Linked DNA regions of Rattus norvegicus. The protein of the gene in region 1 purifies or fractionates together with the protein of each later gene. This does not show direct contact. Links are inferred from orthologs where the notes say so. Each region holds a gene or a part of one and is shown in the gene's direction. Other genes may lie near its edges.

Evidence for each region.
Region 2: the proteins of Hnrnpa2b1 (region 1) and Hnrnph3 fractionate together in Homo sapiens (co-fractionation; 3 studies listed by BioGRID and IntAct, with this or other methods). This does not show direct contact. The link is inferred for Rattus norvegicus from reciprocal best matches to the Homo sapiens genes HNRNPA2B1 and HNRNPH3.
Region 3: the proteins of Hnrnpa2b1 (region 1) and Hnrnph1 purify together in Homo sapiens (affinity purification with mass spectrometry; 5 studies listed by BioGRID and IntAct, with this or other methods). This does not show direct contact. The link is inferred for Rattus norvegicus from reciprocal best matches to the Homo sapiens genes HNRNPA2B1 and HNRNPH1.
Region 4: the proteins of Hnrnpa2b1 (region 1) and Dhx9 purify together in Homo sapiens (affinity purification with mass spectrometry; 4 studies listed by BioGRID and IntAct, with this or other methods). This does not show direct contact. The link is inferred for Rattus norvegicus from reciprocal best matches to the Homo sapiens genes HNRNPA2B1 and DHX9.

What each region holds. Positions count from the first base shown.
Region 1 is NC_086022.1:81,868,495-81,870,749, reverse strand, and holds the end of Hnrnpa2b1 (heterogeneous nuclear ribonucleoproteins A2/B1), read left to right. Parts: coding exon 1-21; intron 22-222; coding exon 223-345; intron 346-1,006; coding exon 1,007-1,068; 3' UTR 1,069-1,089; intron 1,090-1,249; 3' UTR 1,250-1,738; downstream 1,739-2,255. UniProt on the Homo sapiens protein: Heterogeneous nuclear ribonucleoprotein (hnRNP) that associates with nascent pre-mRNAs, packaging them into hnRNP particles.
Region 2 is NC_086038.1:25,617,984-25,622,350, forward strand, and holds the start of Hnrnph3 (heterogeneous nuclear ribonucleoprotein H3), read left to right. Parts: upstream 1-1,556; 5' UTR 1,557-1,579; coding exon 1,580-1,691; exon of another isoform or gene 1,692-2,185; coding exon 2,186-2,324; exon of another isoform or gene 2,325-2,858; coding exon 2,859-3,043; exon of another isoform or gene 3,044-3,459; coding exon 3,460-3,546; exon of another isoform or gene 3,547-3,854; coding exon 3,855-3,970; exon of another isoform or gene 3,971-4,367.
Region 3 is NC_086028.1:35,193,341-35,197,471, forward strand, and holds the start of Hnrnph1 (heterogeneous nuclear ribonucleoprotein H), read left to right. Parts: upstream 1-1,292; 5' UTR 1,293-1,355; exon of another isoform or gene 1,356-1,438; intron 1,439-1,855; 5' UTR 1,856-1,895; coding exon 1,896-1,992; intron 1,993-3,197; coding exon 3,198-3,353; intron 3,354-3,549; coding exon 3,550-3,693; intron 3,694-4,131. UniProt on the Homo sapiens protein: This protein is a component of the heterogeneous nuclear ribonucleoprotein (hnRNP) complexes which provide the substrate for the processing events that pre-mRNAs undergo before becoming functional, translatable mRNAs in the cytoplasm.
Region 4 is NC_086031.1:68,176,023-68,179,589, reverse strand, and holds part of Dhx9 (ATP-dependent RNA helicase A), read left to right. Parts: intron 1-731; coding exon 732-850; intron 851-1,249; coding exon 1,250-1,398; intron 1,399-2,821; exon of another isoform or gene 2,822-2,961; intron 2,962-3,567. UniProt on the Homo sapiens protein: Multifunctional ATP-dependent nucleic acid helicase that unwinds DNA and RNA in a 3' to 5' direction and that plays important roles in many processes, such as DNA replication, transcriptional activation, post-transcriptional RNA regulation, mRNA translation and RNA-mediated gene silencing.

The sequences.
Region 1 (2,255 bases):
GTTATGACAACTATGGAGGAGGTAATAAATTCATCTACAACCTTTATGTTGGAATTTGGATTAGAATTAATGACATTTATTTTATTGTCGATTAGATACTTTAAATTGTAGGATTGTAGTTAGGTATTGTGTACTTTTATGTCTTAGAGAAAATTTGTATTCAGAAAGTTTTTCTTCAATGCTTGTATTCAGAGGTTAGCTGGTATTTCAATTCTTTTACAGGAAATTATGGAAGTGGAAATTACAATGATTTTGGAAATTATAACCAGCAACCTTCTAACTACGGTCCAATGAAGAGTGGAAACTTTGGTGGTAGCAGGAACATGGGAGGACCATATGGTGGAGGTAATTTAGTAAATGATAGGCAATCCTTCTGGATGGTTGACTGGGGTGGAATGGAAGTCTAAAGAGTTCATCTCAGAATGGGAAGAGAATCTGACTTTGAGATGGGAGGGTAGGTAAACTTATGTAAATGTTAGGTAATGTTTTTGGTTTTTTTTTTTTTTTGGGAGTATGAGTTGGGGCATACATTGCTTAGAACCAGGGACTCTATGTACCACGCAGAATTAGGTGATTATCTCTTGAATTTAAGTAACAATTATTACTGCCAATAATCCTTACGATGGGGAAATGGAGGCAGAAAGGTCATGTTTTCAAAGTCTTGTCCTTCATGTGAAACCATGTCTCCAATATAACACTCTGCGTTTAGCTTCTTAAAGGAGCTTTTTTAAAAAACAATTCTTTATGATTTGAAGACTGGATCCATCTTATTAAGCTGCTTGTGTTTGAAGATAATAGACTTAGAAAGATGGTATCACATTTTTTTATATGCCTATAATCCGAGGGATCAAAAGGAGTAGGATCACTTTACATTGTGGGGCAGCCAGGTATATTATGTACAGTCACAAGACAGAAGGAGAACTTGGTTTCCAGGATAAGAAAAACATGTATACAGACCCTCAGATTTATGTGTTCTAAGCCTGCATTTTTGTTTGAATCATTATAGGGAACTATGGTCCTGGAGGAAGTGGAGGAAGTGGGGGCTATGGTGGAAGGAGCCGATATTGAGCTTCTTCCTACTTACCATGGGTAAGTAGTTTTTTGAGTTTTACAATTATTATTATCTTGGGAGAACTAGCTGCAGGAGTAAAAAAGCAATTTTAGGATCATGTTATCTTTCCTTAAAATCTGGTTAGATGGATAATTTCATAACCTATTTTTTTTTTACTCTTTACTTCTGTTGAAACAGGCTTCACTGTATAAATAGGAGAGGATGAGAGCCCAGAGGTAACAGAACAGCTTCAGGTTATCGAAATAACAATGTTAAGGAAACTCTTATCTCAGTCATGCATAAATATGCAGTGATATGGCAGAAGACACCAGAGCAGATGCAGAGAGCCATTTTGTGAATGGATTGGATTATTTAATACCTTACTGTGGAGGAAGGATTGTAAAAAAAAATGCCTTTGAGACAGTTTCTTAGCTTTTTAATTGTTGTTTCTTTCTAGTGGTCTTTGTAAGAGTGTAGAAGCATTCCTTCTTTGATAATGTTAAATTTGTAAGTTTCAGGTGACATGTGAAACCTTTTTTAAGATTTTTCTCAAAAAGTTTTGAAAAGCTATTAGCCAGGATCATGGTGTAATAAGACATAACGTTTTTCCTTTAAAAATTTAAGTGCGTGTGTAGAGTTAAGAAGCTGTTGTACATTTATGATTTAATAAAATAATTCTAAAGGAAATTGTGTAATTATAGACTTTTTATTTTAAATAAGTTAAGGAGTGGGTAGTATAATTAAGGTCCATTGCAAAGCTGTTGTTGTATTTGTGTAAGATAAAAATGCTGGTCAGATTTAAGTGTGTTGTCTGAAATTCATCAGGAATAAATTACCTAGTTAACTTAAGGGATATCTCTGCAAGGAGAAACACCTTTTTAGATCTTTTAGATGCTGCTTCTTCAATGCAAGGAAAGGAAATAACCCCAGCGAGGTACTCTTCAGGGACACAGGTCTAGTACAAGAGAACTCTTGACGACTAAGCTCAGCCAGTCTTAAAAAACTGTGCTGTATCTACAAAGCTTTAACTACAGTAGTTGATAAGAATGCCAACGAGAGCTGAGGGTGTAGAGCAAAGTAGTTCTAAGCTTCAGTTAAACTTCTTTAGGTAAGAACTTATTTACTTTTTCTTTCTTAATTTTCCTCCCTTAAAAGATAAACTAATAAACTCTTCAATGGTCTTTTCAGTATAGTTCTTATGTAG
Region 2 (4,367 bases), on another chromosome or scaffold:
AGGTTGGAGTATTGTAAATAGTGAAGTGAACTGTTGCATAGCCTTTGAAAACTGTATATTAAGGTATCAGAACAGACTGCCCTTTGGGTTTTAGTGGGATTCTAGAGTTGACTTAAAAGGTATATTAGAGCAAGGCTGCTTCCCTACTCTCTTTACTTGAATAGAAAGTCACCCTATGAGATAACTTTTTGTCCAAATCAGTTTTTGCCCAGTAAAGTTTTGTTAATTGAAATCAAGAACTGTTGAACAAAAATTTTTCTCTGACCTTCACATTGCACTCAGGTATGTGTGTGAGGTATGAGCACATACACCAGATTAATTAACTGTAATAAAAGATTGTTAAATAAAAGTTATCAGTGTAGTGTTTTTCAGAGTTCTTGTTTTCATAAGGACTTTCCTGGCAAAAATGGTGTTTTAAGTTTTAGACACACAAAAGAGCTTTCTCCCTTGTACTTGCTACTGAAATACTTGTCTTTCCCTCATTTTAATTTTATGAATGTTTTGCTTGTGTCTGTGTTATGTATACCACATGGGTAGAAACCCAAAGAGTGTTAGATCCATGGGAACTGGGGTTATACAAGGTTCTAAGCCCCTGTGTAGGTGCTGGGAATAGAGCCCAGGTCCTCTGCAAGAGAAGCAGTGCTTTTTGTGATGAATTATAGTCATCTCATGGGGGTGAGGGTGGGATTATCTTAAGCTGGTGTGGTAGCATCTGTAATTCCATCTATGAGTCCTGTCCAGGTTATAGAGCTCCACCTGGCTACATTAGTTTGTTTTTATACTCAGACTTCAAATATGAATAGGCATGTACTATATATACCTTTGTGTTATTAAACATTTGCAGTTGGGCAGGTGTGTCAGTAAAGCTTAGTACTCTCCAGCTGAGGCACGACTGCTTGAAGTTCAAGGCGAACCTGGGCACTGAGGCCCTTGGATTTTTGGTTTTGTTTCTCGTCTTGTATTCTTTTTGTTGGTGTTTGGTTTTTTTTTTTTTTTTTTTTTTTTTTTTTTGAGACTAGAGAACAGCCCTGGCTATCCTGGAATTTACTTTGTAGACAAGGCTAGCCTTAAACTCCCAGAGATTCTCCTGCCTCTGCCTCTCCAATGCTGGGATTAAAGGTGAAGATCCTTGTTTTAAAACAGAAACAAGTCCCCAGCTCCGAAAAAAAGAACAAAAAAAAAAAAACAAAAAAAAAAAAAAACAGAAACAAGTTTGGTATATAGTGACACCCTGTCTGTAAAACAAAGTCTGGGGAGCTTTGTAAAACAGTGTAGCATGAGGAAAAGGATAGTGTGTGACAGCAAATTTTATTCTGGTGGTAAAATTCTACAAGCCTTGTTAGATCTTCAGGGTTGTTGGTAGGAGGGGGGTGAATTTCACTATCTTTTCCTACCCTACCCCAAAGAAGCATGTTAATAGAACACTGTTGCAGATTGTCCCAGGAGTCACTTTAACTTTTGCCTGCATTTTGAGTTGTGACACTTGTCAGAGTTGTTGGAGTTTTGGTAAGACTGTGTTGTGATTGACTGCTTTATGTGCTTGTTTATTTTCATAGCATTTAAATCAAGCGGTATTGAAATGGATTGGGTTATGAAACATAATGGTCCAAATGACGCTAGTGATGGGACAGTGCGACTTCGTGGACTGCCATTTGGTTGCAGCAAAGAGGAAATAGTTCAGTTCTTTCAAGGTACCTCTAGCACTAGTCAAAGTTTAGTAGTATTTTAAATTGTGTTTATTAGCTGTTACTGTTTTTAATTTGTAAAACCCATTTGATTTTAGAACTTAGTTTTGTGAAAACCTGGGTTATATAGTAAAATGGGGAATGTGCTCCAGTTACTATTGCATAGAGTATGTGTAGGCCAAGTAAACATTGATGATGTATAGTGTAGTTAACCGAGAGTAACTGTGATGACATGGGCTGTGAGTTACCATTGGGAGCACAGTTAAATGATTTGTAGTTTTTCATGTAGTGGGCTTTTAGAAGTATAATTTTAAGACACTGGTCACAAAATATTTAATCCAATGATATTTGAAAACTATTCCAGTTGTATTATGGGGTGATGGGAAACTAAGCCTTTTGTTTTGTTTTGTTTAGATTTGTTTTAAATATTTGATTCAGATGGGAATGTTTCAGCCTTTAACACTGTTCCCCTTGATGGGGTATTTGTCCTTGGGTTAAAGGGTTGGAAATCGTGCCAAATGGGATAACATTGACGATGGACTACCAGGGGAGAAGCACAGGGGAGGCCTTCGTGCAGTTTGCTTCAAAGGAGATAGCAGAAAATGCTCTGGGGAAACACAAGGAAAGAATAGGGCACAGGTGGGGATGGAGAGTTTGGGATGGTGTTACATTTTTATTTTTGGGGGTTGTGGGTCGCTATTGCTTAAATGGGGGGGGTAAGCATAACATTTTTCTGGGGTAGTTTTAAAGAATTGATAATTACCTAAATTTAACATGGAAATACAGATTTGGGTGGGGAATTAATGCTTATAGTTTAAATTAAAATTAGATTGTTTCCATTTTTTTTGTAGGATGTTGTTAAATTTGTTTTTGTATAATCACCTGATTTTTGTTTTGTTTTTGTTCTTTTTTTTTAATATACCTATCTTGTACTAAAGGAAACAAGCTAAAATATATTCCTAATTCAGTGTTTTCAAATGACTCATTTGTCTATGTAAAACTTAAATATTTAAGTTTGTAGGTGTAAAAAAACGTTAACCTTATGGTTTATTTAGGCAATTTAAATTGGGATATATACCTAGATATAGACAAACTTACTGCATTTGCCCAGTATCTAATTTACTCTCTAATGCATCTGAGCTGAAACCTGTACCTTAAAACATTTTTAAATAGGTATATTGAGATCTTCAGGAGTAGCAGGAGTGAAATCAAAGGATTTTATGATCCACCAAGAAGATTGCTGGGACAGCGACCTGGACCATATGATAGACCAATAGGAGGAAGAGGGGGTTATTATGGAGCTGGGCGTGGAAGTATGTATGACAGAATGCGACGAGGAGGTGATGGATATGATGGTGGTATGTGTGTCTAATGAACAAAGGCTCTGTTGTCATTTTCTTGATGTTCCTGACACTTTGTCAAGAAGTACAGAAATGGCAGTAATTCCAGTACCTATGAGGTTTCAAAACCTGGTCATGAAATTATGGGATGTCCATGACCATCAGGTGGAACTTGATTGATGCATGTCTTGACAGCTAGAGAACACAGTGGAGAAGTAAAAATAAAGATGGTTGGCATGTTTTCTTCCTGGCATAAATATGAGACTTCATTTCCATGTCATGTTTGAATTTATCCTCTGTAAATTTCCATTAAGTGTTCACTTTTTCTCACATATAGTCAGCTGCAAACATAATTGAAAGAGCTAAGACAGTTACTGCTAGTTTACAGAACAATGGCTCAGAGTTGTATTTATTTTTCCTTACATTTTCCACAGGCTATGGAGGTTTTGATGACTATGGTGGCTATAATAATTACGGCTATGGGAATGATGGCTTTGATGACAGGATGAGAGATGGAAGAGGTAAACAGAATATTGTCATAATGAAGTCAATTTTACAGGGTTGGGGATTTAGTTCAGTGGAAGAGCACTTGCCTAGCAAGCGCAAGGCCCTGGGTTCGGTCCCCAGCTCCGAAAAAGGGGGGAGAAAAAACAAAAAAACTATTCACTGAAGTCAATTTTACCATTCCCTTTTGTAAAGTTCCAGTAGTAATTAGGTAACTTTCCAGTAGTAGTAAGACAACTTTGATAGGTTAGTGGAAACTTGTGTCAATGCACTGCTTTGGAGATGTATATGAATATACTTATGTGAACCCACATGGTTTATCTAGGCATGGGAGGACATGGCTATGGTGGAGCTGGTGATGCAAGTTCAGGTTTCCATGGTGGTCATTTTGTGCACATGAGAGGGCTGCCTTTTCGTGCGACTGAAAATGATATTGCTAATGTGAGTAATTGTGGTTTTATAGTGCGTTTTTTAATTTATTTTTTGTTAATAATAATTACTCATGGCGGGGAGACAAACTGGGCTAGAATTTGCAAGAATTTGCAAATGCTAACTTGGCTTTGAGCCTGTTGGAATTACAAGCAGCTACCATGCCCAGTTGACTCATCTTTTTTATTTGTTGAGACTCAGGCTAGGGTTGTCTTTTAGTAGATTGATTATTTGCCTAATGTGCACATAATTGTTTGTGCCCATTATGTGCTGACCTAACGAGATTTTTCAGCAGGTTAAAAAAAAATGCATTAAAATAAACAACAGAAACCCAGCTCTGTTAAGGATAGTCAATTAGGTAGGAGCTTGGTAGGGACTGAAGCAATCCCAAACTCAAGATACTCCTAAG
Region 3 (4,131 bases), on another chromosome or scaffold:
GGTCATGCCCCACTATTCTCCCAGCCTGTTTCATCGGAGTTTCCCTTACACCTGAAGGTTCATGTTACACAGCTCCTGTTGCTCTCTTGCTGAAAGCTTCTGTCTACTTAACACCCTTGCGCAGACTTAAAAGGTCCAAGTTCTGCATGCTGTCTCTGCACCTTTCCTTTGATGACCACCACCCCCTTAAAAAAAACTATCCAAAGTGGATTTAGCCTCCTCAATATTGTACTTGAAAGAAAAACGTAATTTTGACCGCGACCTCTTGTGATGGCATTCAGAGGCATACCAACTGTGGTACCCACTGTGGCACCACCAAAACAATAACACTATTGTTAATTTCTACCAGGTCTGGCAGGGGTGGGTCAGTCAAATCCGGAGAGACTCCGAACATCATCCGTATTCTGCTGTGTTGCTGGAATTCTAACTTTTTACCCATTTATCTCTGTAAGTGCACACGAGATGACCCGGAGGTGTCTCCACCTGGGAGAGGTACATCGGTCGGGCGCCGCGCTCTGGGGTTGCGTCCTCCGCGCACCTGGTAGTCTCAGCCTTCACTCGCGAGGCGCAGCACACAGAGCGCTTCTCGTGCGAGGGCCCGCGGCCTTGGGAAGGCGAGGGGTTCGCAGACTGCGAGTTCGTTAGGCAAAGTGGGATACAGGACTAGCTCGGGCACTGACAGCCCATGTGGGTCGGGGACTGATCCCCTAAAGCGGGCAGGTAAGGGGACTGGTCCTAGGCACCCCACGGTGATCTGGGATTTGGGCGCAGGGGCGGGGCGGTACGGAGAGGAGGCTCGGCATAAACCGGCCTTCCAGCTCCTACGCGTTCTAGGGAGAAAGGGCATGGCTTCCTTTTCCTCCTGCTGTCTTTCAAAACTGACAGGAACGCGGAAGAAAAGCTGCGGATTAAGGGTAGAACAACCGCCCCTGTAAACCTGAACTCTGGATTATTACCCAGTCCCTGCTGGGAGCTGATTATCGCCATTCCCCTCCCCCACTCTGGCGGGTAGGTCTAGAGAACGGTTTGAAGGCAGACGCATGCGCTTTAAGTAAAACGATAAACCGCTGAGACGCCAAGCGCAATAATTGCAAAAGGGCGCAGGCGCAGGAAGAAAAAAACCCCTCGGTCAGTTTATGAAGGGGCCGGAGCCCAAACGCATGCGTGTAATAATGGGCTAGCGGGAGAGAGCGCAGGTTTTCTTAATACGCATGCGTTTAATCTTTGTGTGACGCGAGTGGGGCGGGGCCGGCCACGGGGTGCGCGTGCGCAGAGTTTGCTCGGAGGGCTTTATTTAGGCTGCGCAGGCGCTCTCCTATCATTTTTCCTCAGCCACGCCGAGGCTTTGTGTGGAGGTGAGTGGTGTTCTGTCTTCGTTTGCTACCAGAGCCCTCCACGGACGCCTATTTTGGTGACGATTGCTTGTCGCTGAACTTAGGTTAAAACCTGGGGGGCCGTGGCAAGCACAGGCTACCCCTGGAAACCGCGAGTGTCTCGCCGGCGTGGCAGCGCCGCCTAGGCCTGCAGGCCGCGCCGCTTCTATTGTGTGAGATGTCTGAGGAGGCGGAGCGGAAGCGGCGGCCGCCATTTCCTTGTCTCCACCATGGCTGTAGGCCAGGGTTTTCTTAGCCTAGACCCTCCTCAGCACTGAGCGCACAGAGTGGTGTTGGGGATCGGGTCGCTAGCCGAGGCCGGGTTGCATGCTTGAGTCTCCGGGGTCAAGGCAGCGTACCGGGCGGGGCTCCCGTAGCGGCGCCCGGTCGAACCCCGCAGGGCGCCTTGAAGTGGGAGGGCCATTTAAATGACTGTTTCTTAGACGTGTTCCTAACAACCCCACCCCCCTCCCACCCCGCAGCCCTGCAGTCTGTTTCGACGCCAGGACCAGCGAAGAGACGATGATGCTGGGAGCAGAAGGCGGAGAGGGCTTCGTGGTGAAGGTCCGGGGCTTGCCCTGGTCCTGCTCCGCGGATGAAGTGCAGCGGTTTTTTTCTGGTGAGTTGAGGCGGGAGTTGTCAGTGGGGGCCCGCGGCTGGGCCGGGCGGGGCGGGGCGGGGCGGGGCGGACCTCTGGGCGCCCCCTAGCGAGTCGCAGGCACCAGCGGTTCCCGGGCTCGCGCTCTGCCAGCCGCTGTTACGCAATGGTAATTGCGAAATGCCCCCTCCTCCCGCCCCCCTCCCCTTCTCCCATTGGGATGCTGGTGGCCCTGCAGAATCTTTTCGGTCTCTAAGCACCAATCTGTGCATTTTGGAATTGTCTCTGAAAGAATTCAGTAGGGAAAGATATGATTTCTTTCCTGGTCTTGAAAAACAAATGGAGCAGTACAGACAAGTGATAGTAATTTCCCCTTTGAAGCGCTACTGCACTTCCTTACATATATTCACTTGAAAAGAGGCATTCTGCTTTGGAAAAGTTCATTTTTCCTGATTAGGATTTGGTCCTTGAATTCATGCTCTAGGTCTAGTTAATTAAAAAACTGGATCCCTTTACAACTGAGAACCCTGAAACCCAAGAAAGTTTTGTCACTGTAGAATCTTACTTATTTTTACACTATGTGTAGGCTTTCTGAATAATTTCTATCAGAATCTTATTCCCACTGTTGTAAGAGAAGAGAGGTGTATTTCAAAAACATTGACAAGTTTCGTAAAAAGGTACCTGTAGTGTTGACCTTACTGTCTGAATTTAGCTGTGGTAACAGAAAACGACCTGTAAAACAAGACTCAAGTATACTGGAAGCAATGGCAGGGGGCAGTTGCCATCGGGTTTGACTTGAGCTGTGCAGTTTGGAGCCTTTAGTTGTTTACATTGATGCCCTTTCAGGTGAGTATTGAGCTGGAGTTTGGATTTGAGTGAGCAGTTATGTGGCTGCTGATAGAGGAGAGCTGACATGGTACCCCACCCAGAAAATGCTGTGAGGTCACCAGGCCCAGATGAGGTTATTCTGAGACATTGTGCAGAGATGGTTAGTGGATACTTAGAGGCAAGGCAGTAGCTTCATTTGAACTGTTTTTGAGTATTAAGGTACCTTGATGGATTAGGAATATATCCTATATACCAGGTAATTTGATGGTGAGTGATCAGTTTAGTCTTTAGGAGTGGGTTTTTTTTTTTTTTTTTTTAATGATGACAGGAATATGCATCTCATCTGTATCACCCAGAGGTGGTTTTAAATTCTGTATTAAGCATTGTTTTCTTTTCAGACTGCAAAATTCAAAATGGGGCTCAAGGTATTCGTTTCATCTACACCAGAGAAGGCAGACCGAGTGGCGAGGCTTTTGTTGAACTTGAATCAGAAGATGAAGTCAAATTGGCCTTGAAAAAAGACAGAGAAACTATGGGACACAGATATGTTGAAGGTTTGATTTACATTGCCCTAGTAACAGTAAATGTTTAAACACATAGAGGTCTTACCCCTTCTGAATTTTAGGTATTTGACCGCATGGAAATGGTCATCTAAGGGAGTTTATGGCAGCTCTTCCTAGTTATCTAAAACCCAGGAAATCTGGACTTTGTTCTCTAACTTAATTGACTAATTCTAAGCACCTCTTTCAGTATTCAAGTCAAACAACGTTGAAATGGATTGGGTGTTGAAGCATACTGGTCCCAATAGTCCTGACACGGCCAATGATGGCTTTGTACGGCTTAGAGGACTCCCTTTTGGATGTAGCAAGGAAGAAATTGTTCAGTTCTTCTCAGGTATGTAGTCCTGTTTGTTGCTGAGCAGTGAGGTATGGCAGCTTCTGGCGACATGATTTAGTATTAGACTTTAAAGTTGAGTAGTCTAGGTACTGAAAGTAGGTTGCTGAATATATGTTGTAAAATTCACATTTTCTTCCTGGAGACCTTCAAATAACTTAAGCCCATCTTAAAAGGTGGAAATTAGAAGTATTTCCAAAGTGTTAACTTTGCCTATATTTAGTATTGTAGTTCAGAGTAGACCTTTGAGGATTCTACTCAGCCATCTTAACTACTTCCTCATATTGCTGTTTAGCAAAGTACTGCAAGTTAAAGGTAAGCTCTTTTTAACATTAGATTAGTGTTGAGTGTAGAGTGTTAGTTTATTATGGTGTTTGTTGTAAGAACTTATTTTTGGTCATGGGACCAGACATATTTTAGATAGTGTAATTTTCTGAA
Region 4 (3,567 bases), on another chromosome or scaffold:
TTTGCCAGCTAGACATTTCCTAGCTGGATAATTTTGTCCTTAGTTTGTTATTCTGAATATAAAGACAACTAAGCGCCTTAAAAGTACATGTTAGTGCTGAGGAGAAAGAGACAACCAAGCATAAGGAGTTATGTTCTATACCCACCAGCATCCACAATGTGCAATCAGATGGGTCTGTGAGAAAGATGGCTGGCCGGCTAGGTACCTTAATGTATTTTACTGTTCTGTGAAGGAAAAAAAGTCCAGTGAAAGGACTTATTTATTCTGCTTCATAGTTCATGACAAGATTCAAGGTGACAGAAACTTGAAGCAGTTGGTCACCTTGCAGAGTGCAATGAATTTGTGCTGTTAACTGTTAGTTTCAGTTTCTGTTTTTACTGTCCAAGTAACGAAGCATTTATAGTGGACAGGTCTATCTTCTTTCTCTCTAACAGACCATACTACCAGGGGATTTGGAGTAAAGTTACCAGTTAACATTAACTATCAGACTAACCTACTTGTCTGTTTTGTGGAGATTATACTATGGCCTCCACATGCATAGACATAGACACACGCAAAGAAATAAGGCTGATCAGCATAGTTCTCATTAGTTTAGACGTCCTTCCAGATTATTGAAAACATGTATCCAAACATGGAGTGTCAAATTGTCATTAGGGATAATCTTTAAAATATGTAGATGTAGCTCCCCCACCCCCAAACTTGATAATTAAAAGAGCAATTTTTTTTTTAAGCAGAAAATAATTCTGGAGTTGAGTCTTCATCTGGCTATGGTTCTCCTGGACCCACCTGGGACCGAGGAGCCAACTTAAAGGATTACTACTCAAGAAAGGAAGAGCAAGAGGTGCAAGCGGTAAGCAGTCTCATGTAGTACATGCTTGAAAGTGGGATTACTTACACATTTTGAGACAATCTTGAATCCCAGTCTGGTCTTCATTCCAGTGGCCCTAGCTTAATAGCCTATTTTACTAGTTGTTAGATCTAGCCTGGTGTACATCTTGTAGTCTCAGCATTAGGGTCAGGAGAATGACTAGCTCAAGACCAGGCTGGACTATAGGGTTCTAAGAACATAGTGATGTCCTATCTCAAAAATACAGGCTCAGTGATAAAGTGGTTGTCTAGCCATGTTCAAACCCCTGGATCTCAGCACTACAAAAATGTAGTTTTATATTGAAAAAAGCTGTATGTTATTTAGTATTCCTTATGTACATATAAGTAGCGCAGCCAAATTTAATCATCATTGATTCTACAGACTCTAGAGTCAGAAGAAGTGGATTTAAATGCTGGGCTTCATGGAAACTGGACTTTGGAAAATGCTAAGGCTCGTCTGAACCAGTATTTCCAAAAAGAAAAAATCCAAGGAGAATATAAGTACACCCAAGTGGGTCCCGACCACAACAGGTTTGCTTGTTTCACTATTTTCCTTGTAAAAAATTAAGGTGATTTGACTTTGTTTACTAAGTGTTCCTCAGTTAATTCTGTGCAGCAGCAGTGAATTGTGAAAAGATATATAACTATAGTTTACCATAACTTTTGCTTAAGAATGTAATGCTATTCTATAAGAAGTCCTGCAAAAGGTCTGTTGCTGGACTTTGATGCCAGTTAATATCTACAGTGGTCGTTTGCTAGTTGTTGACTTAATTGGTCAGAGGTGGTGATTTTTTTCTCCCCAGTGTAGTTTTATTGGTGATAGCTTTAAATACTTAAATGGTTCTGCAGTGTTTTGTTGTCTTAGAAGTAGATTGTATGTATTACCTATACATCCAAATTTGACCTCGGTTTAATGTTGACAGCTCTTTTAAGAATCCTGTTACTTGAGTACTATGAAGTTAAAGGATCGCGAAGTTCTTATGTATGGTTTAAATAGAATGCCTTTTTTTCCTGTTAAGCTTATAAAACAATGTAAGGGAAGATAATGTGACCGTATGTTTCTCAGCCTGCTTGATGTTCTTCCTAAGAGCATTCCAGGGTGTAGTACTTATTACTCCCAGGAAGGCTCATACAGATTAGATTCTTCAGGGAGGCACTGCATTATTATTGGAAGAGAAAAGGAAGTGGTTCTGGAAAATAACGATTCGATTTGCTGTCTTTAATTATAAAAAATAAATTATCCAAAATAAATTTAAAACATTTTTCTGAAATTAAAGTGTTCTCCCTTGGGTGCAAGTAGCAACCCTAAAATTATCATTACCCAAAACAAAAAACAAATTGACAACATATTCAAAATGATGAGAGCATGGCTCCTCCTGCTTCCTACTGCTTTGTTCAGTCCTGAATTCTCAAATACTACATACTTAGTGTTATATTTTTAAGATCGTTCTCCATTTTGGTGTCATAATTTTAAAAACAAAACTCCAGGCTGTAAAAAGACACCATTTCCTTTAATGCTTTGTCTACAACTTACTGCACTTGGCAGCTCCTGGTGGTTTTTCTTTTTTTAAGAATAAGTGAAAGGCTGGAGCACAGGAGTGGAATGTTTGCATAGCATGCATGAGGCCTTGAGCTCAAATTTCCAACATCAATGTTACCACTACTACTATTATTTTGAATTGCTGCCCTCCCCCCAGAAAAAAACCACCAACATTTGATGTCAGTATCTTACTGATTTCTGATGTAAAACAAAGAATTCGGGACAAGACAATGTAAGAGGCAGACAGTTGGAGCTGGGACACATTGCTCCTGTATGTCCTTTATTGAAAGGCATAACAGACAGCAACACCAGAGGTCTGTGTTCATATACACATGTGCTGATGCTTAGGCTGAACTAAGCAATCACATGGGAAACTATTGTAAACTGATTTCTGGTGTTGCTGTTCCCCCCTAGGTGGAGGAGAATGAGATTGAGTGCTGACTTTAAGCCTGGCTGAGAAACATACTGTCATCGGTGTCATTAATGAAAGGGTGGATGTTGTTCCCCTGAAAGCCAGTGGCCTTTGACCCCCCTTGAAGCCCTTGTGCCTGAAGGTCAGTTGACAAAGAAGTTTAGGAAGGAACCTAACTTATCTTTTTCCTTAAGTTTCACCTAAACTTTTATTCACAGCACAAAGCCAAGTTTGAGTGTGCCCGAGCAGTAAAGGACCAGCATAAAACCCTAAAACCTATATTTACTCCTAGGGCCTGCTAGCAGTTTTAGCTATCTATAATGTGAAAATGACTTTTGTCCTCTAGGCCCTGATTTAAGTATCTTAAAAAAGTAGGCTAAATTTTTTTGTAACCAAGGACTTCTTCCAGCTTGAGATAATTTGAACTCTGCCACAGGAGCTACTGGTATATAGTGGTTGCATGTGTAAACTACCCTAATAAGTTGCAGTTGTAAATTAGTATATATACATAGATACTTTTGAGGAGTTTGGTGTTTTTCTTAGCTCTCCAAGATAAGCAATCTTCTTTCATTGAAAGCATTCTTATATTGAGACACGAGCCTTGGAGTAAAAATAAGTAAATCTATAATCTAAAACCATAACTTTTTTTTCATGAAAGAAAGCTCATCAGCTGCTTTATAACTAATGTCCTATATATTTGCAGTTTACATACTTTCTGTTCTAGGACTGGACAAAAATAAGTGTTCAA